3 linked regions of the Bombyx mori genome follow. The protein of the gene in region 1 binds, or shares a complex with, the protein of each later gene. Links are inferred from orthologs where the notes say so. Each region holds a gene or a part of one and is shown on either strand. Other genes may lie near its edges. The genes, in order: mediator of RNA polymerase II transcription subunit 18, cyclin-C and mediator of RNA polymerase II transcription subunit 31.

What was found.
Region 2: mediator of RNA polymerase II transcription subunit 18 (region 1) and cyclin-C share a complex: the UniProt entries of both Caenorhabditis elegans proteins name them as parts of the mediator complex. The link is inferred for Bombyx mori from reciprocal best matches to the Caenorhabditis elegans genes mdt-18 and cic-1.
Region 3: mediator of RNA polymerase II transcription subunit 18 (region 1) and mediator of RNA polymerase II transcription subunit 31 share a complex: the UniProt entries of both Caenorhabditis elegans proteins name them as parts of the mediator complex. The link is inferred for Bombyx mori from reciprocal best matches to the Caenorhabditis elegans genes mdt-18 and mdt-31.

What each region holds. Positions count from the first base shown.
Region 1 is NC_085121.1:5,592,389-5,603,208, reverse strand, and holds mediator of RNA polymerase II transcription subunit 18, read left to right. Parts: upstream 1-3,686; 5' UTR 3,687-4,005; coding exon 4,006-4,098; intron 4,099-4,537; coding exon 4,538-4,672; intron 4,673-4,957; coding exon 4,958-5,162; intron 5,163-5,432; coding exon 5,433-5,545; intron 5,546-7,708; coding exon 7,709-7,834; 3' UTR 7,835-8,216; downstream 8,217-10,820. Other genes in the region: exosome complex component RRP4, read right to left, coding at 864-1,079, 1,284-1,469, 2,064-2,198, 2,280-2,517, 2,591-2,715; uncharacterized protein LOC101737360, read right to left, coding at 8,231-8,370, 8,735-8,853. UniProt on the Caenorhabditis elegans protein: Component of the Mediator complex, a coactivator involved in the regulated transcription of nearly all RNA polymerase II-dependent genes.
Region 2 is NC_085121.1:11,201,005-11,211,836, forward strand, and holds cyclin-C, read left to right. Parts: upstream 1-5,709; 5' UTR 5,710-6,997; coding exon 6,998-7,588; intron 7,589-7,669; coding exon 7,670-7,762; intron 7,763-7,868; coding exon 7,869-7,991; 3' UTR 7,992-9,141; downstream 9,142-10,832. UniProt on the Caenorhabditis elegans protein: Component of the Mediator complex, a coactivator involved in regulated gene transcription of nearly all RNA polymerase II-dependent genes.
Region 3 is NC_085122.1:5,743,012-5,753,655, reverse strand, and holds the start of mediator of RNA polymerase II transcription subunit 31, read left to right. Parts: upstream 1-4,363; 5' UTR 4,364-4,674; coding exon 4,675-4,690; intron 4,691-4,766; coding exon 4,767-4,856; intron 4,857-5,238; coding exon 5,239-5,408; intron 5,409-6,412; coding exon 6,413-6,559; 3' UTR 6,560-6,584; exon of another isoform or gene 6,585-8,490; intron 8,491-8,491; exon of another isoform or gene 8,492-8,524; intron 8,525-8,599; exon of another isoform or gene 8,600-8,847; intron 8,848-8,898; exon of another isoform or gene 8,899-8,975; coding exon of another isoform or gene 8,976-9,106; intron 9,107-10,281; coding exon of another isoform or gene 10,282-10,373; intron 10,374-10,644. Other genes in the region: pickpocket protein 28, read right to left, coding at 8,976-9,106, 10,282-10,373. UniProt on the Caenorhabditis elegans protein: Component of the Mediator complex, a coactivator involved in the regulated transcription of nearly all RNA polymerase II-dependent genes.

The sequences.
Region 1 (10,820 bases):
GCAAATATCAAAATTGATATTTTATGCCGCTTGGTTGTTTGCGCGCGAACATAACTCCATTATAGAGGTCATACACGCTAGGTGTTGCATGATGGTTTTAGGCGTGCATGCATAACAGACAGGTATAATCGAGTTTAGTTAAAACCATTTGTACATAAAGCTGGTATATATGCTGGCATATTCCTACATAAACTAGACCTTATAAACTTCGATGCGATTGATTTGATGTCTATATGAACTGTATTAATTTAACTTTTTTTTTATTGCTTAGATGGGTAGACGAGCTCTTAGCCCACCTGGTGTTAAGTGGTTACTGGACCCCATAGACATCTACAACTTAAACGCCGCCACCTACCTTAACATATAAGTTCTAAGGTCTCAGTATGGTTACGACTGCCCCACCCTTCAAACCGGAGCGCATTACTGCTTCACGGCAGAAACAGGCAGGGTGGTGGTACCTACCCATGCGGACTCACAAGAGGTCTTACCACCAGTAATTACGCAAATTATAATTTTGCGGGTTTCATTTTTATTACATGATATTATTCCTTCACCGTGGAAGTCAATCGTGAATATTTGTTAAGTACGTATTTCATTACAAAAATTGGTACCCGCCTGCGGGATTCCAACATCGTTGCATCGCTAGATACGAATGCACCGAACGTCTTATCCTTTAGGCCACGACGATTTCGAAACTCAACCATCCATACAAAACGTAAGCGCAATTGTACACAGATTTACATAGAACGATCAGTTCGCCCTATCCATAGTGAATTGCAATTTACAGAAAACTTTGTGGTATTGAAAAAGCTGTATTTCCTTTATTATTAATATTTTCTAGCTATAATTAAAACACAATAAAGTCACTCTTCTGCAATAATATTTATTCTATGCTGAGTTAAAAATGCTACGTCAAGCATAGCTTCAGGATCCAAGAGTTCCTTTACATTGTCGTATTTGAGACTTTCTTCGAATGCAAACATTATGCTAGTATCATCTAACATCATCTTAGATGCCACAAGTGCCAAAATACAATTTTTCACTCGCGCCATCGTTTCTCTTTCTGATTTCCCAACAGGCTGCAATAAAAATGATATCAGCATCATATTAGCATATGCAACAATTTCATGAGGGCATGAGAACATGCATGAGTTCTATTTTCTTAAAACATGGAAAAACACAAAGTTTAGTGAAAATGATATAATAAATCTTTAACTTGTGTTTATCGTTTATCTTTCTTAACTCCTATTCCCGAACACTGCACACTGATAGCATTAACCCACCTGAATTTCATAATTTTCAATTGCATCCTTATTTCCTTCCATAAGAATATCACTTTTGTGTGGACTAATCCATATATATCCATTATTCCCTATTATGACAGATACTGCACATGGTAAGTTGTGAAAATGATTTTTTCTGCGCTTTATCAATGACGGGAATACTTTTATTAAAGTTCCCTGTGAAAGCTGCAAAAAATAAAGTTTTCGAACAAACTCTTAAATTAATTTTTTTTTAGTATTAGCAAGGAGTAGAAAGTTCAACATTTTGTGATATTAATTATTATTAGAGGACTGTATGAATGATTCTATTTTAAGGTATGAAGGGCTATTTGGTTTAGAGGAAAGTCATGTAATTTAAAAATTGAAAAAAAAACATGACAAAACTTCTCCAGCTATTTCAATGGAGAATACTTAATTGGTGTTCAATTAAAAACAATTAATTGTATAAACTAATACCAAATAAAATTTACCTTTAATTACACAGATAGATGCCATGTAGTAAGCGAAGTGTCACTTAAAACAAATAGCCTTACGCCCCTTGATTTTATTTATTTAAACATATAGGTAGTGAATTAAAGCAGATTTAAGTGTTTGTGTAGACTTGTAATCAATTTGCTAATGAAGCATGTTTAATCTACTCAGAAGGATAAATATCATCTTCACTTTGGAGGATTTCAAAATTTAATGTTGCTACATATTTGAATATTTTTAATTTCCTTATAACATTCTTGTTGAACTTTAGAATAGTCATTTTTTATTGGCTTCATAAAATCTGATTACCTTGCCATATTTCAAACTTCTTGTATGCAATGAGAGCGAACCATCAGAAAATACATTCTGTACTTCAGCGCTTATCAAATCACCTTCCTGTAAATGTTTTCTCATCATCTGCTCATCCTCTTCTGAACGCCTTCTCTGGATTTAAAAAAATATATAAATAGTTATCATTAGATACAAGAAGATTGCTTTATATTATGGAAGTGTGCGTTAATTTACCAATTCTCCGCCAGGTAGATTTACTGAAGAAAGTTGAAGTATTGAATCAAGTCGTGAATTGGTATCAACTTTCCATCTTTTCTGTTGAACTTCCAATACTCTTCCGACTACCACATCGCCTATTTCTCCAACGTAACGACTCTTCAATGGGCGAATGCATATAAGTTTATTTACTTTTTGCATAACCCCAGCAACAGATGCTTTTAGGCAATCATCTTCTGCGTAAGTTCCGTGGCCTCTTAAAGTGCAAAATTATTAAATTTATAGTAATAATAATTCTTAACAATATTGTTTTCGCAAAAAATACCGACCTCATAAAATCTTGTATCCCAGTTATGACTTCGCCAGGAGTGTAAAAACGCGGCGGGTCATTATTTGAGGCAACCGAATGATTTACTCTTTCAGATGCGAGTTTTATAGATACATGACTGACCATTTCTAATGTTTTTTTAAGCTCCCTCTTTGCTAATTGTGAATTGTGTACAACGAACTCATAGACCTATAGTCGGATTTTTTATTAGACGAAGTCAACTGACGTTTACTGTGTTGTCAGGTTTTGATGAAATAAAAATAGTGTTGTGACAAAGTGAACGATTGAAAAAACTCCTGAATTAATGAAATTGCCTCGATTGTCTAGTGAATAGTTAGTGTGCCGAATTGCCGATATCGGGTACGGGGTTCGAATTTTAGGCGTGCTTTGTACAACCAATGAGTTTTCGACGAAATATTATGTTCCTATAGTATCTACCTGCACTGAATACCGAGTGTTTTAAACATTAAGAAAAACATTGCGAGGAAGCTTGTAAGACTGTCCTATTTCCAATACATCATATAGTTGAAATTATAGATGTATAAAATATAACAATTATAGGTATGTAATGAAAATAAAAAAAAGTAATTGTAGTTACATACTACTAGTAACATATATTGGAGCACTTTAATACAATTTTATTGTAAAATATAAATAATATTCTTTTATAGTTTGAAATTAATGATTAACTCTTCACACTCATTGTTCATTCATGTGATTGAACGAGAACTGAACAGATGATAAGGGATGAAATACAATCTCACTAAAATGACGGTTATTTACTGAGATTTTGGCCTTTTTGGACGATCCCGAGAAGTTACGTCCAGCGGCTTGGTTTCATTTTCCCACATTGGTGCACTTTCATAGATATTGAACAGTTAATAAACAACCGTTATTACAGGTTTAAACCTGAAGACACACTAAATAGACAAAATAAAACAAATCACACAATTTCACTCCTCGCATGTAGAATCATTGGTGACAAAAAATGTTTAAAAACAAATACGGCCGTACCAATATGATAATATGATGCGATACCATTGCCTCTCTCTCCTGTATTTGAAAAAGGAAATTACAAAATGTCACCTAAATGAGGCTAAATGTCAACATTGTTAGTAACTGTCAAGCTAACAGCGATTGCAAACATATCTCTACCTTGTTAAATTCCAATATGAGTATTTAGATTATGTTAATTAGAAATTAGAATTTATTTTCTCCTTTAAAATTGCCTAGTTTTTTATTTTACGCAATATTTATAGTTTCGGTTATATGGACTATTTAGACTGAATGCACCTCTATGAGACAGAAAAGTCGTTTATAAGTGTAATGATTTCTTGGCTCACACATAGTTCTTCAAAACTTAAATCTTTAAATAGCTGCTATTGAAGTAGGTTTTCAGATTTTCAGCTCCATAAAATGTCGGCAAACGCTGCACCTATAACAGCTACAGATAGCTTATCGCAAGCTTTAAAAGCGAACATTATACCAAATCAGGAATACTTACTTCAGGTACTACAGGATGTTGAAGTGGCTCAGCTATTTTAAATTTCAGAATAATTACAATATAGTCTACATTCTTCTACAGTTTCCATAAATTGCATACTTAACAGAACTAATTACCATAGTTGCAGCTATTGTATCCAATTCTTTTGACCCATTTGATCTGTTTACATACTACATTCAAAATATTATCAGAACCCATACATACATAGCTTACATATAATAGCAGCCCAAAAAAACATGAGATAAGGTCTTAGTTACAATGCCTACAATGCTGTTCTTAATAAATAAAAATAATTCATTTAATGATTTTCAATTTTACAGTATTTCATAGCTGGAAATTATGATAATTAGGCAACAGGCAGCAACTTTTCTCAAGATTCAGTCAAGTTTGTTAATTGTTGAATATTATACATTTAATTTTTGATTCCACTAAAATTTGATTAAGGGCTCAGTGTTGGACTCGGCAGTAGAAGTTTTACTTCACCGATTACGTGGTCTTTGTGACAATGTTGATGCTGGGCCAGAAACATTTGATGACCAGGAAGTGTGTTTCAGTCTACGGGATCCTAATCATCATCAGGTAATAATAATACTTAGAACTTTTTAAAATATTTCTGTTAATGTTATTATTATTTTAGGACACTAGAATATAAAATGGTTATAAAATTATAATACAATAAAACTTGTATTAAATTATAAATTGATTAAATTTTGCCTGGGCTGTCACCTGTTTGGTCAAGAAAAGTGCTAATGATTTGGTAATCACTATTAATACTGTACAATTCGTGAGCATAAAGACATGCCTGAATCTATATATTTTTCTTTCATGTTCTAATAGTTCATCTTTAATAAATTTAAATTTCAGGCTCCCCCTCTCATGTTGCGTGTTCGTAAAGCATTAGATGCTCGAGACATGCCATTTCAGTTACGATACATTGGGCAGCCTGATTTGGGGGACAAAAATAGGCCAACAGTTGTCCGTTCCAGTCTTGATATAGCCTGCAGTGGAATGCTCATTGAATTTTTAAATGAGCTAGGATGCCGAATTGAATTTGAATACAGTGTAAAAGGTAATAATATTTATTATAATGACAATTATGAGTAATATGATTGTACATGTATTTGATAGTATATTCTAAATCATCACTATTACTATACCACTATTGTTAATAATGACGAATCAAAGAAGACCAATAGTCAAAAATACTAATTCAATTTAAAGTATTACCTAGATTTGGGATTTAATTAAATTGCATATAATTTTCAGTGGTTCATTTAAAATCAATCAATTACGGTAATTTTATAAAAAACATTAAGCTTTTTCTAATTCTAAATTTCAGGTTACATGTTTAGAAAAGGTCGTATGAAAATTACTGTAGCAAAAGTGTTTAAGATTTCTCAAAATTCAATGCCACCTGAACCTATCTCACAGAGCTATCTTGTGGAGCTTTCTGTAAGTTTTTGACACCCAATTAAATAATTTGTCAAATTTCCCAAACAATACCGCTTTCTGGTTTTGCTTGAGTATGATGATTATATATGATCTTTAAGTACCGTAGATTGGGGAAAATGGGGACCCTTTCCAATTCCAAAACAAATTTTCAATGCTTTTATTCTTAGGGTAATACCAATAAAATTGAGATTAAAATGGCTCCGAAGGTTTAAATTTTTAAATACGATTCATTATTTTATATAGTTCATATAGTCACAAAATATACACAAAACCTTAAAAAACTTGCTTGACCCGATTCTCTTTGAATGAGGCTATTTCTCTCATTGACTTGTCCTTCTTCAAACGAGGCTTGTGGAGAGTATACAACGGTAGGCAGCGGCTTGGCTCTGCCCCTGGCATTGCTGAAGTCCATGGGCGACGATAACCACTCAGCATCAGGTGGGCCGTATGCTCGTCTGCCTACAAGGGCAATAAAAAAAATACGCTATGTATGGGGACAACAGAGTTTTTCGATAAGGCTGGCACTATTTAGTTCTTAGGTAGGTACCTAACTTTAGGTAATTAATTTTTTATATCTTTAATGAGATACAAAGTTTTGATATCTGAATTAAACTATATAATATTCTTAAACACTAAATAATAGTCATCTTCAGTGCAACAAAGTTATATCTAACAACCCAACAAGAGTATTGTGACATCCCAGATTTGTCCCTATTCTAACTCTAGTCTCTATTCTCCCCAATCTACTGTAAATAAACTAAAAATAAGGAAGAGATTTTTAATTTGCTGGCTTGGTTTTGATGTAAACAGCTTGGTTTTTTCAAGCTATAAAAACATAAGTAACCTAACCTACAGGTTTCCATGAATAAGTAAGGCTCAATAATAAGCTTCAATTGTTTTTTTTTCTTCTTATTTGTACGTATTAAGTAGATTTTATATAATTAATGTATGTAGTTGATGTTTGTAGAGCAATGTGGATTTATTTTATTTCATGTATGTTATGTGATGTGTAGTGTATTTCAGTTGTTGAAGACTTTTACCCTTCTTTAATATCTTTGGTTCCCTTAGGTTTGTTAGAACAAAAGACTAATTAATACATTAAACTCACCATTGGACATTCTTTTACAAGTCTTATTTTAGTATCATTTTCTGTGTACCTATAATATATAAGAATAAGATGATAGACTAACTTTTATTTGCTGATAGTGAGTCCTGAGTCCTATAAGGATTGTGCGCCCAAAATGTTATATAAACTCTGCTACTTAAACAATTTTGGGGATGCTTAAACGACAAAGGGAAGATCTTCCACCGAGCGGATGATATTGCTCGGTAGACCGACGGTCCGAATGTTGTTATTCGGAACTTGTACATATGCGCTTTATCTTGAAAATGTCGTAAGCGAGATTCAGGCATCTGTCAATTATCTTGCGTTGTATGATGGCTACCCGCCACATCACTCCCCTCCGAGACTGGAGGTCGTGTCATTTTTAGATATCGTTGTCCGTGCTGAGATTAGCTTGCAAGTGCCAGTGCTGCTCGAAGTTTGCGGTGAGTCGAAACTGAGCTTGAATGCTGCGTGATTGTCGCCAGTGCTGCTCGAAGTCTGCGGTGAGTCGAGACTGAGCTTGAATGCTGCGCGATGAGGCAGTGTAGGTGCGTGCCGTAGGGCCAAGAAGCGCGGTTAGTCGGCTGCGATGGTCCTGTTGAGGCTGCGATGCTGGCTTGCTGTGGGACGACTGTCGATGACTTGCTTTTATCTGCGAGAATGCGGGGATTGTGGTAGCCGAAGTTCTTGATGCGCCGATGATGAATCAGAAGGTTGCGTGTTCACATCACGTCGGAGGTCACCAGTTTGGGAAGCTTATAACGACGGAGGGAAGATCTTCCACCGAGCGGGTGATATTTGCTCGGTAGACCGACGGTCCGAATGTTGTTATTCGGAACTTGTACATATGCGCTTTATCTTGAAAATGTCGTAAGCGAGATTCAGGCATCTGTCAATTATCTTGCGTTGTATGACCCGCCACACAATCACGAATTACATTACACCTACTATTATTCCCAAAGACAGTTGACATATAATGTTTTACTGTGCTGAGCCTATTTAGTAGTATAAAGGAAAAGGGTGTAGTGAACTGCTGATAGTTTCATTTTCTTATTCAGGTTCTTGCACCACAAGGCCAGGACGCTATCGGCGAGGATATGCGAGCCTTCGCCGACCAACTCAGGCCTCTAGTGCAGCTCGACAAAATCGACTACAAGAGACTCGGGCACATGTCGGTTTCATAGCCCATGTTCCTAACTCAGAACTTACTTTAACAATTTGAGCAACAGTCTGGTGAAATGAAGAAAAATAGACAAATTTTCTACGACAATATTCGATTGATAAATGTATATAAATACAATACTCATTTCAAACAAATTTAAGATTATTCCAAGAGAAAACTACGGCATCCATTTTCAATTAATATACGCTACATTTTACAAAACTTTGTATTCGTAATCTCGTAACTAAAATATAATATGCACCGATTACTTTCAATTTCTATTTCTAAGAATAGCATTTACTCCTCAATAGTCTAAAATGTTTAATTTCTATTTTTATATCTGTCAATAAATACTAATAGGTCAACATGCAAGAATGAATTAAAACATGATCAAAACAGGATAATTCTTGTTTAATTATTAAACGAAATCGGGATTCTTGACCGTGTCTTTCACAATGATATGGTCTTCGCCGTAGTCTAAATCTTCATATTTGTAGCCGTGAACGTACGCAAAGTTGCCGAAATAAAGACATTTATCATAATGTAAAGTAACAAATTCTGGAAAGCAAAAAAAAGTAATTGCATAAGGCCATTTCACTGCTATACGTAACGTCAACCTTTTCAACCAATGTTTCCTGTATACCGTATTCACAAGTTAATTTACCAGTAAGTAAATAATAAATTAGGTACCAAAGCTTAGTATCGTAGACAGTTGGGTAACTTGAACCTACAGGCGATCTACAACATAACTATAGAACATTAATCGATCTCAATAATTTCGAAACTATGCCTGATGCTAGAAAAAACATTTCCACAGTGCAGTATACTTGACAGTTATGTTTCTGCAGTAAAATTTGAATATTCGTAAAATTTTACAGGGAAAAATTTTCAAGGAGCAAAATATGTTCAAGTGTTTCTATACCTGTTCCTTGTAAACAATTGTACAAATCCATAACGCAGTGATTGTCGAATATAAATGTATTATTGGTGCTTGCGTCAAATGCACATATTTTTTGGAAGTACGTAGGGCAAATACCACATCTGAAACAAGGACACAACGAAAGCGATTTAAGTGTAAAGTTTATCGATAATTCAAACAGTTTTCCTTTGTTATGATCACTTAATAGGAAGACATGAGACATGCAATGGTCGTTGACCTTTTTTCTCTTTAATTAAAAAATATATATACAAGAATAGGCTAGCTGATGACAGAAAATCAAGTTTAAAACTTAAAAAATAATATTTAAGTTCCTATTTTAATCAAATATGTCTGTAACCTTTGTTTGTCCTCAAATGTCTTAATGAATGGCCTTATTGAATCAAATACTTTATTCTATATTTTTATTTACTCTATGTAGGAGTCCAATGTCATTTTTTATGGAGAGTAGAGGTAAGGAGAACCGTCTCATATGGGAGAAGCTTGCAAAAGTGTCCCACTTTCAGCACTCAATAACAGTTCAAATATCCTCCAGAATGGCGCTAGCATAGGCACAGGGTATGATATGAACTGAGCAGTTGTTAACTGATTGAACTATGTTGAGTTAGGAAATTTAATATATTTAATGACTAGAGTAGTTAGTGACACTAATATACAAGACCTCACATGTCTACGTAGTCCAAACTAATTTCGTCAGTATAACCTAAAATTATTGCTGTGGTAAAACGTGGAGACATCGTTTGCATTTTCTTATCAGCTTTAAATAAAATACTTTTTGTTATTTTGTAGTGCTTACATTGCTTTCGTCCTTTTTATTTCTCTATCTTATTCTAATAACTCTCAGCACATTTTTTTTAAATTTACCCGGTTGCTACTGTAGCGCCACCCTTATTTAGCAGATTTTAACGGAAACTTTTTACACACAGAGACGGTTCTCCTTACTTCTACCCTTCATACATTCTTGTTACGAATTCATTGATAACTCAAACCCATACTATGTACTGGAAACAATTTTCTAATTTCAGCTCAAAGCATGAAGGTAGTCATGACTCAAACACTTGAGACTTATAGTTTGGTTTCTCAATGCTCAATGGTATAATGTTTTTACGTGTTTTTTGTATTTAGTTCGTAGAAATAATAGAAATTATTTATTTAAGGAACGGGTGACATTGGTGTAAGACTGAAAGGAGTAACATGTACATAAATCATTTTTTTTATTACCTTTGTAGGTAGACTAGCATACGGCCTACCTGATGGTAAGTGGTTATCGTTGCTCATGTACGTCAGCAATGCTAGGGGCAGAGCCAAGCCGCTATCTACCATTAAGTACTCTCCGCAAGCCTCGTTTAAAGAAGAACATGTCATAGCGCTCGGGAAACACCGTGGAGTGGAGTTTATTACAAAGCCGGATGGTACGTGACAAAAAATATATTAGGAAACGCACTGTCGATGAACGTAGCGGCTACAGATAATATGGATGAGCTCTGCAGCGGTGGCGGGAGGTGTGGTGATAAAAAGGCGATGAGAGGATCAGAGCATTCCCCATGGAACATACGGTACAAAACACCGATACTGAACACGACTCGAAATATCGACCCCCAGAATCCCTATACTCGCGGAAAGCTGCAGTGATACTCTTTGAAATTGCGGCGCTATGACAAAAGGTTTCATCTTCGCAATGAACGCGCAAGCCAGTGTCTTCAAAGGGTTGAACTGAACAGAATTCAGTTCACCTCACTTGGAGACCTGTCCCAGAGAGTTAGTTCTCCAATTCAGACACAACTTTTGATCGCCTCTCTTGTAGCTTACGCTTCGAAAGAGACTGATGATCGAGATATCGCGCATCCCCCTGCTATCATCCGCATAGCAATGTAACCCTGAACAAATGTAACCCCGTGTCCTCAACAGATAGCATGTCATTGATATGCAGTATGAAAAGCGTGGGGGAGAGCACCGAACCTTGTGGAACGCCAGTGTCATGGTATCAGCAGCCGTCGACGACAACTGTGATGCTCCATCCATCCAAAAAGCTAGCCATTCACTTGCAGAGTCGCTCGGGGATTCTCTAAGC
Region 2 (10,832 bases), about 5.6 Mb from region 1:
CCGGACCAAACAATTAAATTAATCTGTGGCCCGGGCCCCGGACCATAGATTATACACTTAATACAGTGTGATTCTTTATAATGTGCACATATCGAAATGAGGGAATCTATGCTTAATTTTACCGACGGAAAAATATTTAAAATATGCAAAATTCTTGTTTTTTATTTTTTTATGGATTTTTTAAAATATTTGTTCACTACTGTGACTCCGGTGTAAACAAAACGGTCTAACTTTTGAACTAAATGATCTATCGCGGGTAAAAAATTTCATAATGATTGGAAGTATTTAGGCGTCCTCATGAAATCAAAAAGTGAGAGAAAACCTCCCCTCAATTGAAAATAAACACGTTTTTTTTAGCATAAATCTGTTATTTTTCATAAATTTTTACAACAATCCTAAAATTTCCCAAAAAGACGCCCCCTTTACCTACTTTTTTATCACTTAAAGTTATTCTATATCGTATTAGCTACCCATTAGTAAAAAAATCATGCTTATAACTCAAACATAACATTTTCTATTAAGTGTGCCATCTGCCCGCAACCTCCAGGAAGTTCACAGAAGGTTGTCGATCACTGAACTTGGATCAAGTAGAGAACGTCGCGAGCCGCCTCAAGTAGTTATTGATGTGACTTTTGAAAAAGCAGTAATTAGTGATTTGTTTGCTGATTCATCCACAAGTACTAGAAGATTGGCTTTCGTTACGGAATATCCCAAAAATCAGCGTGGCTCATTTCAAAGAAAGAAGGATTGCTGAATTGATTGATGAAATCACCTCCCATCACTATAACATCTACATGAAGACGTAGACTGCTGGCCAAGGTCTGTGATGTCCACTTGGATCCAACTAAAACCCAAATTTTTTAAAAACTATACTATGGATGGATGAAGCTACATTCACCAGAGACGGTATTACTAACTGTCGAAATTTACACAAATAGTGCCATGCAGGTGAAAACCCGAAATTAAAACGTTCATTGACTTTTCAAGTAAATGTTTGGGCTGGTCTTCTCGATGACAAGTTGATTGGACCAGTTATATTGCCGAGAACTTTGATCGGTGAAAGATTTCTAAGTTTATTGATTCATGAACTTACGGTTTCATAGATCCCCTAACACTTCAAAGATACAGTCGCTGATTCTATCTGCCTGCGCCTGCGCGTTCACCCGATTTGACGCCCCATGATTACTTCCTTGGGGGACCATGAAGCAACATATCTACAGTACCCCTATCAACAATAAGGCAGATTTGCATGACTTATAATAATTGTGGGAATGATATTCGCAATAATCTTGAAATAATGAGGAGAGCGACACAACAAATTTTAATTCGCGCGGCTTTGTGCCTACAACCACCTCTTTGATGGACATTTTGAGAATCACATGCATTAAATTTTGTGTAAAATAATAAATGGTTTTAATTGAACTCTTTTGTACTAACTATCATACCAAATAAACCATCCTTAGGAAAACAATAAATAGCACATTCGGATTGCCATCTTTTAACACTTAATAGAAAATGTTATATTTGAGTATAAACATGAAATTTTTACTAATGGGTAGCTGATACGATGTAAAATAACTTTAAGTAATAAAAAAGTAGGTAAAGGGCCCGTCTGTTTGAGAAATTTTGGGATTGTTGTAAAAATTTATGAAAAAATAACAGATTTATGCTAAAAAAACGTGTTTATTTTCAATGGAGGGGAGATTTTCTCCTACTTTTTCATTTCATGAGGACGCTTAAATACTTCGAATCATTATGGAATTTGTTTGACCGCGATAGATCATTTAGTTCAAAAGTTACAGCGTTTTGTTTACACCGGAGTCACAGTAGTGAACAAAAATTTAAGAAAAAACAAAAAATAAAAATTTTTTTTTTAGCATTTTTAAATATTTTTTGCTCGATAAAATTAAGCATAGATTCCCTCATTTTGATATGTGCGTATTTTAAAGAAGCACACTGTATATGCCCGGACCATGAACAGGGTAGCCAGATTTTTTTTTACTGAAGTAGCCAAGTTACGGCGCTGTGTAAGCTGTGTTCCTTATGATCGTAATGTGGCGCTATAGTACGTCAAGTAAGCGCCAATATTTAAATGAAATATACGTGTACATAAATTTTTATTTCTTTTATTTAAAATTTAAATAATATTAATAATAATTTTATTTGTCAATTTTTAATAACAATTTAGGATTTAAATATATTTATTTTAATTTTGAAATAGAATTATTATTATCATTATTCAAACGATCAACAAAAATAAATATTATTTAAATAATAATAACATTTTAATGTATTTCTTTTATTATTAAAAAGTTTAAAAATAAACAACAGTTTTATAATTAATCAATATTAAATATTTTATTAATTGAGCATAGTAGTAACATTAGTCTAGATTAAAAGTACTGATAAATAATTGATATAAAATTTTATATATCAATTAATATACCATAGACACAGCCATGTTATTACATGCCTTGAATTTTTTGAAGAAAAAATTACCTATGGTTAACCCATACAAAATATTCGAAGTACTCAGTCGAATCAAATTTGACATTAAAGTACATTGTGCACCAAGGGAGAAAAGTAGGACATTTCCTCCCGCGTATAAAATTGCAACTTAAGGGTGATCATTGGTTTAATTAATTATAAATAAATAAAAGACGAACACACAATTTTTACATTCGAATATTAACGAACAAACGACGAACAAATAATTAAAAATAAAAAAAATCCGAAAATCAAAAAAAAGGGGGCCAAATTCAGTGAGCCTCTTGTCACTTCTGTATGAAAACCGGGAAATAAAATCGTAAAAAAAGCATGAACAGTGTCAAAATTGTCAAAACATGTACAGTGTTTTTAATAATTACTTGAATTTATCAGTTATGCACATAGATTATACACTTAATATATTAGAGATAGATGCGCAACTCTCATTTTTATTTTTGCTTTAGTTAAAGCCCGGTCCAGCAGGCGTCGCTACGGTCGATTATTAGTCTCCCTACCCCCCACCAGGTGGCTTTTTTAGTAATTTTAATATTTTTACCAACTCTCTTTATGAAAAAATCTTATCGTTTAGAATCGCTAGAATTCCCGGTAGTACTTATGAGATATTAAGGAATGTTCGATTGTGTTCAGCATTCTAATCGATAAGATCTTTTCATACAGAGAGAAAACAGTTTTTTAAAATAAAAAGCTGTAATTCTCTGTAAGCTATTTAATTTCCCTATATTACAAACAATTTTCGGTTAAAAGATTGTATGAACGTACAAAACTTCGAATAACAATAACTCCTCTAGATTAATCCTACTAGCGTACTTATTAACATTAAATCGAAAGTTATCTAAAAGTTAATTAAGTCTAGATAATCAAATCATTCAATGTCAATTAAGTCATTTGTGCGAAATATAAACATGTCAGCTTTCCATTATAAACATAGTAGACAATTTGAATTAAATTTAATAAATTTGTTTCTTAATGATAGCAGTTCTTGCTTAAAGTTGATCGTGACAGATCATGACCTTGTATGAAAATATTACATCTATAAATACTACCTATGCTTCGTCATACAATAATTGTCATTTAAACTAGCATTGTAGAGATAATACACACACTAAAGTGAATACTAAATTATTCTTAGCATTCTTATAAACATTTAGAAATTTAAGAAACGATTAACCCACAATCATGTTCATAACATGTGACATTTTGTTCTGCACAAACGTTTTGTTACATGATTTGAAAAACAAAAAAAAAACAAAAAATGTTTAAAAAATGTAATGATGATTTAAAGTACTCTTAAATATTGATAGTTTGTACTTAATGACACTTATAGTAATCTTAGACATGATTACAATAGTTATACTTTTATTCTTTATCTAAATTATTTCTATTCTGACGTTTCTGATGCTTTAGCTTTGGTAATACTAGATGAAACAAACAGCAGATTGAAAGAAAATCATCTTAAAGTTAATTACATTCATTACAAACCATTAGTTTGCATTTTGTTACAAAAGAAACTGATGTTCGTTACATGCAAATGAATTATAAACATACACATGCAAACATAAAATGTAAATTTATCTTTTAATCCAAATTAAATGTACATTAATATTACATCTAAATAATAGAAAGGGTCTCGAAAATTTTTATTGCACTCAACAGCAGACGAGCACACAACCCGGCTCATGATAAGTGGTCACCAGTGCTTATAAACTTCAGCAGTGCCATAGGGGTTGCTGTCTATCACTTAAGTTTTAATAAATTATTAATATACTCAGTCACAAGCATATTGATTTCACATAATGAAAATGTAAGAAACATAATCATGTTTGGGCATTTTCATTTATATCTGCTCATACAGAAAACACAACTTAGCAAATATATTCCACAGTTAATCTAAATAATTGCAAATAATGCTTTTGAAGATCGTTGACTTTTGATCATTAATTAAAATCATCTTCTCGTAGAATTTACAAAAGCTCATTTACAAAAATTTATATCAGTATTTTCATATATTACTAACTTACTAATTACAACTATTCAAAACGTAATAGTATAACTATAAGAACTAAACAACCTATTTTAAAACAAAATTGGCATCAATTTAGTTCTTATGAACTATTTCAATTATTAATTTATAAATTATAAACATATTTAAAAAAAATTAAGATCCCTTGTGAGTTCACATTCCTTGCTGAATCAGTTTCTCTTCTGAAACGGAGAAACAAAGTATCTTAAGTATGTAACAAATATTGAAAAAATACGACCATGAAAAATTTAGTGTTAATGTAATCATACTTACAAATTAATATATTACATAACACGTTCTGGTTCAAATATAGTGCATCAATCTTTTCATGTTTCAGACATTTTAGTGCTCCTTATAATTTTTCCATAAAATTTTGTCATTATCAAACCTTTGTCTACAAAAATAAAAACATTATTTTATATTGGGTAGAAGGATGAACGTGGTCACAGGCCACTTGGTGTAACTTGGTTATCAAACACCAGGAAACAAAATGTGAATGCCATCATTTAACTTTGGATGTGAGATCAATTGTGCTGTATTTTATTTAAACAGGAAAGCATGACTATCAATCAGTCATGCTTTCCTGTTTATTCCATTCCAAAAAACTAGTTCGGGCCCACTTGACAATAAGCATATAATACGCTGAGTTGCAAAACATAAATACTTCCACCCACTCGAGACAATTTTATTATCTGAGGTGTGTGTGTGATAGTACGAGACTTAACACCGACTGTTTTGATCAAACTTAACATATATGATAGCTAGGCAGCAGAAATAGGAAGGACCATTAGTTGGTGCTAATTCATTTAATTATATTATGAATAATAATTCTGTTAGCAAATAATATACCGGGAAAATAGTGTAAACTCACCGTTATCAAGGCATCCGAAATAGCATTTCATTTTCGATCTTCGAGGCATGCTGATTTTTAATAATAAACTTTCTGTAAGAAACGAAAATAGTTACACAGGCTTACGAAACGCTAACGAAGAAAAAAGTATTGGAACCAAGTTATGTCTAAAGAGAATTCAAAACAGAGTTTCTCAATGTCTAATCGTCTAATATTCTCATAAAGCTAAAAGATGCTCTAAATTAATACTACAACGTAAAATAACTCACACCAAGACAAAAAAAAAACGATTTAAAAAATTAAATCGTTACGACATTTTGAAAACGTTTTTTTTTTTTTTTGAGATTGTTTTACGGCCCTGGAATTTTGAAAACTTCAAAGCAGTGTTTCCACTTACGTTTTTTTAAACACATTTTACCCTAGTTTCTTTTGAATTTATCCCTAAAATTTCCTAGACAACTTTCATAAATCCTTTATATAGAAAGTATAAATAAAATACAGAAAATAAACCACAGCATATTATTTAATGTAGGTATATATAATATAAACGCCCCCAGAAGATCATAGATATATAGGATTAGAATTTTCAAGGAAGTCGACGCATTGCTTTTATATTCTTTTGCTGCACGCAACCTAACACTGTTCGGTTCTAAAATTGAGCAATTGTTTGCTGGCAAAGTTGGGAACTTTCTATGAAGCAAGCCGTTCAGGGTTTCATTAGAAAGCCTGTTTCTTTTGTCAGTTTTTACATTTGAGAACACTGAATTATCTTTCCACCTCAGTCTTTGAAGAAGGAACTGCTAGCAAAAGTGAAATGACAATTACAAGGTTTTCGTAAATGAAATTACCATGATAATCTTTCATGGTACATGAAGTACCTGTATATTACAATACAAGTAAGTTCTGGTGACATCAACGAAAATAGGTAAATAAAAGTTTGGCGGATTATACTTATTGGGATTCTGGGGAATCCCTAAGAAAAAAGCAGTGGCTTAATCTATAATTTACTTTACTAGAGGGTTACTGTTGAATCAAACCTTCTTTATAGTTTTTATACACAACTCTGTTTTATTCTTTTACTTGTCAACTCGACTTAATGTCATTCTCTCTCCATAAAATAAAATGTTCATTGTTTTACTTTAATTATCGTTTATTTTAAAATTCACAACAGTTACTAGTATAGGCTTTGCTTTTTACCCCGAACTATCCTAAATCCTGGTATTTTTTAAATTGTCTTTATCATCCAAAATATCAGCTATTTTTCCCTAAAAAAGGGAGAATTCCCTAAAAGTGGAAGCACTGCTTCAAAGTACGCTAACCTTTTTTATTGAGTCAGAACTCGTACCTGCCATCTAGTGAGTTTATTAGATCATTAAGGCCAAAACGTTTCAAAAATGACCTCGCCGGTTCCTAAAGATGACGCTAGTTGAATGTTCTTTTCCTTTGTATGGGAGTTGCACCCCCCTGGTTATGCATACATATTACTAAAATACACAGTTTCAAAAGTTTCATAGAATAGGAATGGATGGAAAAATGTTAAATTTGTAAAAAAAGTATGTTTTTTTGATAAATCAAAATTTACCAAATTTTAATAATTATTGTGTTTTGCCTTTGAAGAAATGGCTGGAAATTTTTGGCAAAGCTCACATCATCAACAATGGATACTCGATAAGCAAGAGCTAAGGCGCGATCGCCAGTTTGATTTGAATATTTTATCAGAAGAAGAATACCAAAAAGTATTTAATTTTTTTGCTAGTATAATTCAAGTTTTAGGCGAACAACTTAAACTTCGTCAGCAAGTAATCGCAACTGCAACAGTTTACTTTAAAAGATTTTATGCAAGGAACTCTTTGAAGTGTATTGATCCACTTCTTTTGGCACCAACATGCGTATTTCTTGCATCTAAAGTTGAAGAATTTGGTGTTATATCCAATTCCAGATTAATAACAACCTGCCAGACAGTTATAAAAAATAAGTTTAGTTATGCTTATGGACAACAAGAGTTCCCGTACAGGACAAATCACATTCTGGAGTGTGAATTTTATTTACTAGAAAATTTAGATTGTTGTTTAATTGTATACCAACCATATAGACCATTACTACTTTTTGTCCAAGACATAGGACAAGATGATCAACTTCTGACATACGCTTGGAGAATAGTAAACGATTCCTTGAGAACAGATGTTAGTTTGTTGTACCCACCCTATCAGGTATGATTTATGTAATGCAAATAGTCACATTTCATTTTTTATTCATAAAACTTTTCATTGCCATTATATTTTGAATTACAGATTGCAATTGGTGCCTTACAAATAGCATGTGTGATGCTTGGTAAAGACAATCTCAAACCTTGGTTTGCTGAGCTAAATGTTGACATGGATAAAGTGAGAAATATACTTGAATATATATTAAAATTAAAAAAAATATGGTTATTGTGTGGTTGTATTACAAAACTTCTGAAACTACTCATTTAAAAATTCAAATTTACAGATCCAAGAAATTGTGAGAGCTATCATTAACCTTTATGAGATGTGGAAAAGTTATGATGAAAAAAAAGAAATACAAGGGCTATTGTCCAAGATGCCCAAACCAAAGCCAGCTCCCCAGAGATAGCAAGACATATTTTGTAGTATGGATTTGTATAATGGATATATAATTTTTAATTGTAGACATGAAAAATTTGTTTTTAATTCCCTAGGAAAAGAAATTACTATTTTTGATGAGGTCACTTATATTTCAAGTGATTTTTATGAATTTTTTCAACCATAAACAAATACAGTGTAGAGCACACTTTAGAGCATAAATTAAAAGAACAAGAACTAAGTTATTTAATTTTCCATCACAAGCCAAAGATACTCTCTTTATTGGTTGTTATGTGATTTAAGACTATTGTATCCTATTGTAGCCTTTAGACACAAAAGTAAATTATTCCTTTATTTCAAGTTTAATGTTTAAATAATGTCATTGTATTGCTATGCTGCCCAATAACATTGTTCATATAAGTAAACTGACAAAGATAAGTAAGATGACAAAAGCTAAAGAAAAAAGGCAATTCTAATGAATTTAGTCTTATCTGTCTGCATGTTTTTGAGCATTGATACTTCATTCATTAACTGTGTTGCATTTGTTCACATTTTACAACATTTGTCAACATTAACAATTTTGAACATTGAAAATGAGGTGGATCCTTTAAATAGATATATATGTATAAATTACTATTGGTTACACATTTCAGGTTAAAACTTATTAGCAATTCAGGGAATAATTATGTCATGTATAGTCAAAGTATGATTGGTGAAATTGTACATTGAGCACTTTATGCAGTGGCTGAATTCAATAGACGCGGGCACATAAAATACGAACAAACAAATAAATATTAATATTTATATATAAACTAGGGGTCATGCTCCACTATTACCTGCAGATATATGACATTTGACATAACACTGGGGAGTAGTTAATGGTTTGAAAAACATTGATTTCTTGTTACTGATGGTACGTTGGTGGTACTATAATAATAGACACCTGTGGAATTCTAACAATAACCATAAAGTTCCATTAACAATTAATGAAATATTATGATAAAATAAAAAATATTTTTACCAATTTTAACTATTATTGTTTATTATACTAAAAATTGTGCTATTCTTGTAAGCATGATTAATTATGTAAAATAAATAATAGGAATGCATCTTTAAAAATTAAGACTGTTGGTACTGTCTTTTTAGGAGATATTAATGTAATAAATTCTTATTTTTCAATACTGTAATTGTTGTTATTTACCTCAGAATAAATCTTTAACTCACTTTTTATTATAAATAATATTCGTCTGATTAATTCTGGAATGAAGAATTACGTTATATAGTTTCATTTTTCTCTTTCTGCATCCTTTTGGGTGTCAGACATATAAATTAAACAGGCTAACTTTGTTCACACTTTGCTTTAATCTGCCAATTTTACATTGATGCGTTTGGTTCTTGATTTATTCATAATTACTTTGGACTTCTTATACAAATTTTTACACACAACGCTACCGCGATGTAATTTTGTTAGCCTGTGACATCTATTGACGACATTTGTCAACTGTTGAATTTATAACTTAACAATATTTTAATGGTTTGCAATATAAACCTCATATTTAATAATAATTCTTAATATGTACAGGACTCTATATAATCATATAAATAATCAGAAACCTTACACTCTATATAATCATATTAATATAAATAATCATAAACCTTACAGCTCGGCCATCCTACCTAAAGCGAGACCCTTCGCTTTGAGATCAAGAAAAAAAAACAAAATATATATGTTACAAAAAAAATAATAATAATAAATGCAATTAATTATACACTAGGTTTATATATGACGTGTAACATTTTTTTTAAACATTTTTTTTGCTATAAATACTAAGTACATACACATATCTATCGCTAAATCGTTTCCATGGTTTTAAGTTCTATCAAAATAATAATTAAAATAACAATTTCTTTCTTAAGTAACTAAATGTCAAACATAAACTGAGTAATCAAGTATGTAATCACTGTCATCAACACTATAACTAGATTCATCAGATTCTAATTCTCTACAGAACGACATCCAAGGCTGAATCTTATCAATAGATACAACTGCTTCATACCTTCTACCTTTTTTGCGAGTCATTGGTATATCTTCTACCACGAACCTATCATTGGGAAGAACCTTTAGTATACGATAAGGGCCTTGGTACTTAACAGAGAGCTTTTGAGATTTTCCATCGTGCGGAGCCTGCCTTGCTAAGCGTACTAAATCCCCTTCTTGGTACTGCCTCGCTGGTTTCCTATGCTTATTAAAATTGACTGCATCTTTAACTTGTTGCTGTTTTTTTTTTTTTTTACTAGCCTGTTGTCTGACTTCCGCCAATTCCTCAATGGGAGTCCTATTTAGGGTGTCATTGATTACCGTACTAAGTATGCTTTCCGTTCTATTAATTATGTTAAATCCAAATAGTAGCTCAGAGGGGCTCTTTTGGGTAGTTTTATGTCGAGCTGTGTTCATACCAACCTGTATATCAGTGATGTGGTTGTCCCACGACTTGTCGTCGCCGCCGTGATTGGCTGTCGATAGAGCATCTAAAATCGTTCTATTAAACCTTTCTACTTGCCCGTTTGCTCGAGGCGTTGCAACGGCATTTACAATATGTTTGATCCCGTAAGAGGTCGTAAAATCTTGAAACGCCTTACTGGTGAAACTCGTACCTTTATCTTTTCGATTGGGTGGAGTTCTCCTTCTCGTTTATCACCTGGAGCTTTGTGGTACGCGCACTCAAGGCAGGAGGTAACATACTTCCGGACGAGACGCCGCATTTTCGCGAACCAATAATGGCCTCGGATGCGCTGTAGGGTTCTTTCAAAACCACAATGGCCAACGTCATCGTGGTTCATTTTTAAAATTTGCCAGCGTACACTTTTGGGT
Region 3 (10,644 bases), on another chromosome or scaffold:
AGAAAATTAATAATTGCTCAGAAGTTAATGTCATAGATAATAATTATTTCAAAGCTATTTTGTTAGAATCGGCTGATAATGTTTTTCCAAAGAAAAAGCCGTGTAGTAATAAGTTGTCATCTCCACCGTGGTGGGATGAAGAATGTACCAATGCTATAAAGAAACGCAAGGCAGCAGAGCGTAATTATCACAATAATATGTCTATGAAAAACTACGAGGCATTAATGACTATAATGAAAGAGGTTAGAAAACTATTTAAAAAAAAGAAATTTGACGGGTGGAGGAAATTTTGTAGCACTATATCACCTGAAACACATGCTACTGTCATATGGCGAAATATCAAAAGATTTAGATCAGCTGTCAATCCTTCTAACGCATTGTTGCTGCCTATAGAATTAGCAGATCAATTCCTTGATCGTTTGGCTCCTCCTTCTGCTCCACTCAACGATCCTATCCTGTCTTATAAGCAATATAACTCTGATGCCCCTTCTTCTCTAAATCTAACTTTTACGTTAGGGGAGTTAAAAGGTGTATTAAATCACGTCAAAGACAGTGCTCCAGGGGAAGATGGGATTCCATATTCCTTTTTGTCTCACCTTGGCGAAAAAGGATTAAATTACTTTTTAAATTTAATAAATAAAATTTTACTGACAGGTGACATTCCACCGTCATGGCGAAGTCAAATAGTATTGCCATTTTTAAAGCCGTCTAAGGTACAATCTGATATCAAATCATATCGTCCGATAGTTTTGTCATCGGTGATCACAAAAGTTGTTGAACATTTAATTAAAAATCGGCTTGAATGGTATATAGAAAATAACGAATATCTGTCCCAAACTCAGTTTGGATTTCGAAAAGGTAAAAGTGTGGGGGACAATTTAGGCATATTAGTTACGGATATTCGTAATGCTTTCTCAGATAAAAAGTCAGTAGTTGCTGCTTTTTTGGATATTAATTCGGCTTATGATAACGTTCTATTACATATTCTAAAAAGTAAATTAGATAAATTAAAGGTTCCCTATTTTTTAACTAATTCCATTGTAAATCTTCTTTCGGAGAGGAAAATTATTTTAGATGTTGGCGGCCCTTATAAGCCTAGTAGGCTGGTATGGAGAGGTTTGCCACAGGGGTCTGTTCTGAGTCCTTTATTGTACAATATTTATACATATGATCTAGAAGGTTCAGTCGGAGATTCAGCAAGTTTATTACAGTATGCCGATGACTTGGTTATTTATGCCTCTGATATGTCTGTAAGTACTGCTGAACGATATGTTTCCTCCTCTTTATCTTTGCTAAAAATCTGGATGGATGCAAATGGCCTTGATCTGTCTCCCTCAAAAAGTACTGTTGTACTTTTCACCAAATCCCGTACTCCTTGCTCACTTAATATAACATATGATGGGGATATATTACCCATTAGGAATCAAGTTAAGTTCTTAGGAGCTATTCTTGATTCTAAACTAACGGGTCAACCACACTGCGAATTTGTGGTTAGTAAATGTGAGCGAAACTTGAACATGCTGAGATGTCTCGGTGGGGTTTGGTGGGGTGCTCACCCGGCTACACTGAGGTTGGTGTATAATGCTGTCATTAGAAGTGTACTGGATTTTGGGACCTTTTTCTTAGACCCAGGTAATGTGGCTGGCTTTAGAAAACTAGATCTCATACAGTCTAGGGCTTTGAGGATTGTTTCTGGTGCCATGAAATCGAGTCCGGTTAATGCTCTGCAAATAGAATGTTGTGACCCTCCTTTAAACTTAAGACGTCAATATCTGTCCGATAGATTCATTTTTAGAATTGTTCAGTTCCATAATCATCCCCTCATTTCGAAACTAGAGTTTCTTTCTAAAAAAGTACCCTCTTCACATAAACCTTTACCTTGTCTGTTAAAAAGTTTCCTGAAATTCAAACAATTACAAGCCCCAACTCATTCTTTTCAGGTGCTTCCTTTATTTGGCGCTTCTTATGATTCTCTCTTACTTTCTCCAGTGATTTGCTTTTCTCTTGGCATTGAAAAATCTGATTTTAATGCCAATGAAAATTTTAATTGCAATGTCAATAGTAAATGGCCTAACTGGCATCAAATTTATACAGATGCATCTAAACACTCCAGTGGGTGTGTTGGTGTTGGAGTGTATCACAAACAGTACAACATAGTTCAGAAAATTAAATTACCTCCGGAATCATCGGTCTTTACCGGTGAATGTTTTGGACTATTAAAAGCTCTTGAATATGTGCTGTCTTTCAAACTAAAAAAAACCGTTATATTTACTGATTCCTTAAGTGCATTACAGAGCTTAGCAAAATTTTCACTAAAACTTAACCCTTTTTTTCATGTAATATTTGAATGTAAGAGAAAGCTGTTGCACTGCCAATCACACAACTATTTAGTATCATTTTGTTGGGTACCTAGTCACTGTGGCATATCTGGAAATGTGAAAGCTGACAGTTTGGCCAACAGTGCTACTGTGACCGGTGACGTATACCCGTACAAGAATTTTGGCCATGATCTTGCTGCTTTGCCCGGCATATGCCTCCACAAATCGTGGAATATGTGTTGGGAAGAGAGCGGCCGGATTAAGGGTCGTTTCTTGTATGCTATACAGTCTTCCGTTCCCAGGAAGCCATGGTTTGCCAAATTGTCGTTTGGTAAAACCGCCACTTCTACTATAATTCGTATGCGTCTGGGACATAACAGCCTTCCAGTTCATTTGCACAAACTTGGTATCGTAACTAGTACCGCCTGTGAGTGTGGCGAGAGTTATTGTGACCTGAATCATATTTTCTTTTCTTGTTCTTTATATGATCATTCTTCCTTATATACTTCTTTAGTATCTCTCTCTGTTCCCCTTCCTACTAATATTTCTTTACTTCTTCGAGATTTTAATCCCCTTGTATATAGTATTTTAAGTAGGTTTATATTAAATAATAACATTAAACTATAATTTTGATTTATTTTCCCTGTTATATAATTATTCTGATTTTTTTTGTAAATTCAATTCGTTCTAAATCATTTATGTTTTGTTGCGATAAGTTTCCTTCGTTTTTTATTATTTATAAACTGTAAATAAATAAAACGGCGAATTATAAAAACGTTATTACTTGACGCTGGCTAATGCACAAAACGTGCCAGAGCCAAAAATAAAGAAGAAGAAGAAGAACTGCGTTTATACCATAGAGTTACTACTTATTAACTCCATGGTTTATACATATATTAAGTGTATAATCTATGGTTTATACTGTCTAATTATTTCATAAGTGGATCAAAAAAATATTGAAAACTTCAACAATAATTCAACAAAAAAATGTCGGTGAAGAGTGAAGACGGTCAATTAGTCGTTAAAGTACAATTAGCGTGGTTTTCAGTTCAGTTATTTTTAATGATACTATTCATTACCATGCAATAGGAGATAGTTAAGATACTTGTATTTTATAATAAAATTAATAATTCCTAAATTCATACTTAGTTCAAAAAATGTAAATATAATGCACACAAAATCTGTTTTTGTTGAAATGATAATTATTTATAAGTTCAAGAAATATATTGCAGGGACATTTAGTAGAAATTCATTTAATATAGAAGAATAAACTTAGTATATATACTTATACTCTATAAACAGGATTTTTTAAGAATAATTATATCTATTTGATATATATAATAATATTATAATAATGATATTAAGTATAAATGAAGCTGATTAATACGAAACATGGCATGAAATGAAATGAGATGAGATGATATGGAATGAAATATAATTTCAGTAAAATGGTGGTTATTTATTGAGACTTTTTCTGTGGACTTGTTGGAGGATCCCGAGAAGTTATGTTCAGCGGCTATATTTTATTTTCCCACATTTGTGCACTTTTACAGATATTAAACAGTTAATAAACCAGCTCTATTAAACATTTAAACCAGATTTTTTTTAAGGGATGTTATGACCTGTTAACTAAGACCTTTAAGTTATATTTTATTTTAATTTATATTCTTATTTTTATGAAAAATTATAATATGGAGTGAAATGAAATGAAGATGATTAATTTGAGAAATTAATCAACTGGGATGAAATTAAATGGAATGAGATAATATGGGATGAAATATAATCTCAGTAAAATGGTGATCATTTACTGTGGTTTGTTCAGTGGACTTTTTGGAGGAACCCATTTAAACTTGAAGAAACATTAAATAGACAAAATAAAACAAATCACACAACTTCACTCATCGCGTTCCCGCCAAAAAGTTTAGGTATAGTACCTTTAGGCCAAATATTAAGCCTAAGTAGGATGATGATCATAGTCATAGACTAACTTAATGTGTAGTGTAGTATTGCTCGTATATATTAAGTGTATAATCTATGTATATTAAGTGTATAATCTATGTAGTATTGTGTAGTTGTGTTACGTTGTGTAGGACTCGGAAAAAAATATATACACAAATTTATTTATGTGATTTAATTAATTTAAAAATTTTAAGAGCTTACTAAGTACTGTGTAACATTTTAGTAATGATAAAATCTTAAATATCACATATTTATATAAGGATAAAATGAACTGTCTTGTGTAACCTGAAAATATGTTATTATTTTGGTCATAGATTTGTTGAGACGTACACCACTGACCAACTTGTTTAATTTTGAATAATTTAAATACTCCAGCTGCATATATTTCGGGTTCAAAATGATGGCTGGAAAAGGTAAGAAAGAATGAAATAATTTTATTTAACAGTTTGTTATTTCATGATAAATTAATAATCTTTAATTTAATTGCAGTAATGCCAGAAACTGAAGAGCAGAATCGAATAAGATTTCAAGTGGAACTTGAATTTGTGCAGTGCTTAGCAAATCCAAATTACATTCACTGTAAGTTGCCTTTTTGGTTTTTGTTGTTAGACTTCACACTCACCTGGTATACAATGATTACTAGAGTACATAGACATCATAATGTAAATGTTGCCACTTGAACTTATGCAGGCTAATGCTGCTCACTGCATACATACACTTATGGAAACTTATAATGATAACTTAATGTGATGACTGATCTGAAGCTATCAAGTTGGTCATCAAATCATCACAAGAGGGAAATAAGTAATAAATTGTTAGGTATTTTTCATACCGGTTTAATGATTTTGTTATTGTGACTTAGTTTCTAATCGTCTATTTTGTGATTAAATGTTTTTCTGCCCAGTGTTTTTAAATGTTATGTGTAATGGATGTCAATTATGTCAACTCTGTCTATTTACAGTTTTGGCACAGCGAGGTTATCTTAAAGAACAAACTTTTGTAAACTATCTTAAATATTTGCAATATTGGAGAGAGCCAGAATATGCTAGATATTTGAAGTATCCCATGTGTTTGCATTTTTTGGAGTTATTACAACATGAAGCATTTAGAAGAGAATGTGTATCGGCACAAGTGAGTACAAATTGCACCTACTAAATTATTTTCCATATAATCTTTGCTTGAGCGGTAGATAATGCCATAGGTTTTAAGTCCGCTGATAAACATTCTTCTTCTTCTTCTCTGTCGTTTCCTCATTGCTGAGGGTCGTGACCACCTTGGTCCAGTTTTTGAAGTAGTGTTTATATGAAGGTTTGTTGTGGCCTGAAGGCTTATCGCTCAGGCTGACCTGACGCATTCATATCAAGCGATACAAAGGTGTTCAGATCCTGCAGGCAGGTTCCAATTATTATAATGAGATACATACTAAACAAATGTTCACTATTGACTTCCACAGTTAAGGAATAACACCATCTAGTAAAAGAATCAAACTTGCGAAATTATAATTTGTGTAGTTACTGGTTGTAGGATGTCTTGTGAGTCCGCAGGGGTAGGTACCTCTACCCTGCCTATTTCTACAGTGAAGTAGTAATGTGTTTCGGTTTGATGGGTGGGGCAGCCATTGTATTTTTTTTTGTTTAGGCATTTACTTTGTACATGTCTATGGGCTCAGGTAACAACTTAACACTACTTGGCCTTTTTTTTTTCTGATATAGTTTTATGATTTATAGGTTTCACAGTATGATGTTTATGGGCTTAAAACCAAAACAGAGCTTGACTTACAAATCAACAGTAAAAAAAATATGCAAATGAAATTGAGCTAGTTTGAATGTAAGAATATAAATTTGGTAATTGTTAATGACCACGTACAAGTTACTGCAAAAGTCATATTATTATAATTTATTGGCTTTTATTTACCACCTCATTAGTAGCTGTGCTTTATTCTTGTACTCTACCAAATATAAAATTTATGACTGTGCCAAACTGGCCCTTGACCAAATACCGCTTTTAATTTTATCCGATAGCAGTATAATTTGTATGTATTACAATTTTTAAATAAAGCCTGTGTTTAGATCACTCTGATGGATAGGTACTGTTCAAAATATCTTCATTAATGAATGATTAATATTTTCCTTAAGGTTTGCAAATTCATGGACGATCAAGCAATATTGCTATGGCAACATTATACTCGTCGGCGTACACGCACGTTACAACCGCCGGACGCACCGGCGCTTCCTGCGCCGCCCGCACCGCCACAACAAGGTCCACCAAGACAACAAACTTAGGATGTTCATGATTGTTGTTTTAGAAGTGAGTGGAAAATAAAATAAACTTTTTATAAATCTATACTTAATAAATAAATCTACAGTGGTTTTTATGGATGTTCCGTTATAACTACTGAACCATGCATCCGATTGACTTGAACTTGTTATCCATGTAGAAAATACATGTACATAATGGATAGGCTAATTATATGAGTGTTGGACTCCCTACACCAGTTGCGGGGGCGTTAATGATGTGAATCTTTGTGGGGGTGAGAAATAATAATGTTAATTTTAAATGCCCAGTGAAGCGGACGGGTACAGATAGTAGTGTATAATAATGTTAAAAAAATATTGGGCATGTCCTCTAGTAGGATGTCCCACCGGGGGACAAAGATCTCCCTCTAAATTATCTAAATGGGTGTTAATGAAACCTCTTTGTTATGTTATAAAAATAATTTGGCTGATATTAAAATATTTGTTCTGTGTAGTAGTAAAATATACGTAGTCTTACTCATAAAAAATATATTTAATTACTTGAAATGGGCACTGAACGTTTTTCAAAACGAATTTTATTTGATTGAACATAAACAAATCCTTTGTATAATAACCGGCAAACTTCTTGAGCATTTGTTGACGTAGTGGGGGTAAGTTTGCGCATGGTACACTCACGTGCAAAAACATTACTTACTCTGCGTCATAATGCTATTAAATTATTAAAATGAACATATGTATTTATTTATATATTTATTAGAACATTAACAAAACATATAGGTTAATAATTGTAATAATTTAATCTTGGGGTAAAATAGATATTCCTTCTATTAAGTCAAAACTAGAGCTGTTGCCAGGTCTTGGTTCAGTTGAAGCGAAGCTGGTATTTGTAATTTTTTTTCCGTTATCATAATCTTGACCATCATCATCATCACTGTTTTCATCACCCGAGTCGCTATCATCGTGATGAGTCGACATAGGGCTCATCGGCGTAGTTTACAACTCGGTCGATTCGGTCTTCTTTTTTGTCTATAATTAATTATTTTTTGAAGATATTCGATTCGTAGTAATCGAATGTTACTTTTTTCATTTACCAGCTTCCGATTATTTTCTGTTCTTTTTTTCCATCTGAAGCCTAGCTCTTTCATAATTCGTCGTAAGCTTCATTCCGAGCCATTAAAATTTAAATCTTCTTTAAATGTTTCGAAGCCTTTCGACGGTACGGAGTTTCGCTGCTTGTTATGTAGTTATTATGATTACATCTTTTTATTACACATTGAACGAAACTATCCATTCCGGTAACTTTCTTCTTCCCTGATCTTTTCTTACCCGGAGTCCGCAACACGGCGAGCAAGCCAGAGCCTTTAGCTTCGTTAATAATGCACCTAACAGTACTCACTGATGTTTTTGTTGCTTCCGAAGTCTGTTTTAATTTTTCCATATCATTCTTCCCCTGTTTTATAATGAAGCAATATACGTCGTACACAAATTTTCTACCCTTTCTTTTATAAGAAAGGGTAGAAAATTTGTACTTAAGTACTACACCAGTTTGTCACGGCATAGTGTATGTTTTATAAAAAATCAACAAACACTCAACAAATAGCAATGGCAACAAAGTCCACAAGCAATTATAACAAATAACTTAACGATTAATAACGATAGACTTTCCACTGTACGCAAGCGTACTTTTGGGAGCAAGCGGAATGAGGGCGCGGTGCGGGACGCAAGGTTCGACTGATCTACCAATAACGCGCTCGATACGATTTCCCCTGCCGTCGCGCCTCACCCTCACCACCAAAGTGATCTAAAATTCGGTTCTGCGCAGTCAAGGTCATTTGCTCAAGAAGTTTGCCGATTACTATACAGATAGATATGCAGTTAAATGTGTGCCTAGCTAGACTGAATTATGTAGTTTAAGTTTTGAGGTTAAGAAAAGACGAAATAAATTTATGTATTTTTCAGATCGGTTTTTTAATTATATTAATTCGAAATATATTATTATTTTTTATTGCATGTAATGTTATAAGGTAAACGGCCTTTTTTCTTCTTTGTCGTTATCACTCTTGACAGAGTGGTCGTGGTCATCACTTCAGGTGTCGGTGGCAAGCTTCGCAACACGCCGCTAATCTTCTGACGGCCAGACGGCTATTTTTGCCTCAAGAAGTGATAGATTATCATTTATCCACATACAGATTGTAGATAGAAGAGTCGACTATATGGCAAGGAATTATAATTATATACATAAACAATAGGGCTTTATCATTTGTATCTTTTGCATCAACAAGGATATTTTGAAAATACGAGTAATTATAAAATTTTGTCTGTCGAGTTTTTTTTAGCATAGACATAGGAATGAATAAAATCATTAGTTTATCGACACAATGCACATCCATATATTTCTAAAATAATTTTCGTGACACATAAAAATTAAACATAAGAAATAATTTTAATTAGTGAAAGGATGCTTTGGACGTCGTCTTGCCATGCACAGCGCTCGGAGAGTGAGGTAGTATATGAGTTCTACGGCACTCATAATACTGAAGCCCATACACAATCCTAGAAGGCCACCCGTGTTCGCTGAAAGCATTATTTGAAGCAAATACGTTGTATCAACTTAACTTAAAGCTATTGTTGAGTTGAGTTCTATTTTATTGAATACTTTAAATCAACATATTTATAATTTATACAGTTCAGATTTAAGTTTATGATATTGAGGGGTGTAAGGCTACTTTTTGCATTTTTGCAGATCTGTGAAAATCTGTTTTGAATTTTTGGTACAAATATATCACAAAAATCTTTTGCATCTATTTGAATGGGGTAAACAAAATTCAAATTCAATTAAAAACATCGAATTGTTGATACTAATATTTTTATATTTTTTATTGCCCTTGTAGGCAGACGACCATACGGCCCACCTGATGGTGAGTGGTTAGCGTCGCCCATGGACTTCAGTAATGCCAGGGGCAGAGCCAAGCCGCTGTCTGCCGCTTAATACTCTTCACAAGCTTCGTTTGTAGAAGGACATGTCATAACAAATAAAACGCACCTTTAGTCTAAACCAGTGATTCTCAACCTTTTTTTTTGTTGCGGCACATATTTAACGATTTCAAAATTTGGCGGCACACAAAAAAAAAGATATAAATTATTTACTTACTACAACACACGGCATAAATAGTTTATCAAAAAATTTTAATATACGAAATAAACTACAATATACTATAAATTTTTTTTGTGGATTTAAATATATATTATATTCATGTTTAATATATTTTTCTTTTAAAATGATATAATTTAATAATATTAACATTATTATATATTCGCAAAATTTGGCGGCACACTTTTGAAATTTGGCGGCACACAAAAGTGCCGCGGAACGGTGGTTGAGAATCACTGGTCTAAACCAAACAACTTTTCACCCCTCGATATAGTTAGTCTTTTTTGACGACTGCAAACTTGGATCTACACACTAATTATAACAAAATATTGTGCATAGTGTATACTGTCATATGTATTTGTTCTAAATATTAAGTGTGCTACTAACTATTAGTATTTATTAGGACGGGGTAGTGAATTAAAAAGTAATCGATATTCTAGACACAACTAGAATTTTTGTCATTTGATAAGGACATGCCAAATTTTTTTCTATTCTGTAATTTAATCCACGGATCTTATAAAAGTATTAGGTTATTTAGAGAATCATGAATGTGAATTTTATTCTTAGGTGATGTTTTGGGAAGGGAATTGTTTCTTACATAAAAATTCTGTTAGTCCAAATATTTCACCCTTTGTGAACCTCAAGAAGGTGTTGTCTTCAAAGAAAAAGTGCACTACCAGCATGTTTTCACTGAAATCGTAAAATAAGTTTTGTTTTAAGATGGAATAATTGAAATATTTTTTTTCTCCTACCTACGCCGAAAGTTCGGTTTCCCTCCCGGTGTACAGGGAAGAAAGTGTAACTTTTCCTCCCTGGGTACTGACAAGTGCGCATGCGCGTTAGTGTCTACTACGGCTGCTCTCACGCACCTAAAATTCTCCGCCATTGTTGTGCTCGGGTAGTTTTCAATACTGTGTTTAGTGTAAAAGTGAAATAAACAAAAGGCAATAAAATTTAATAG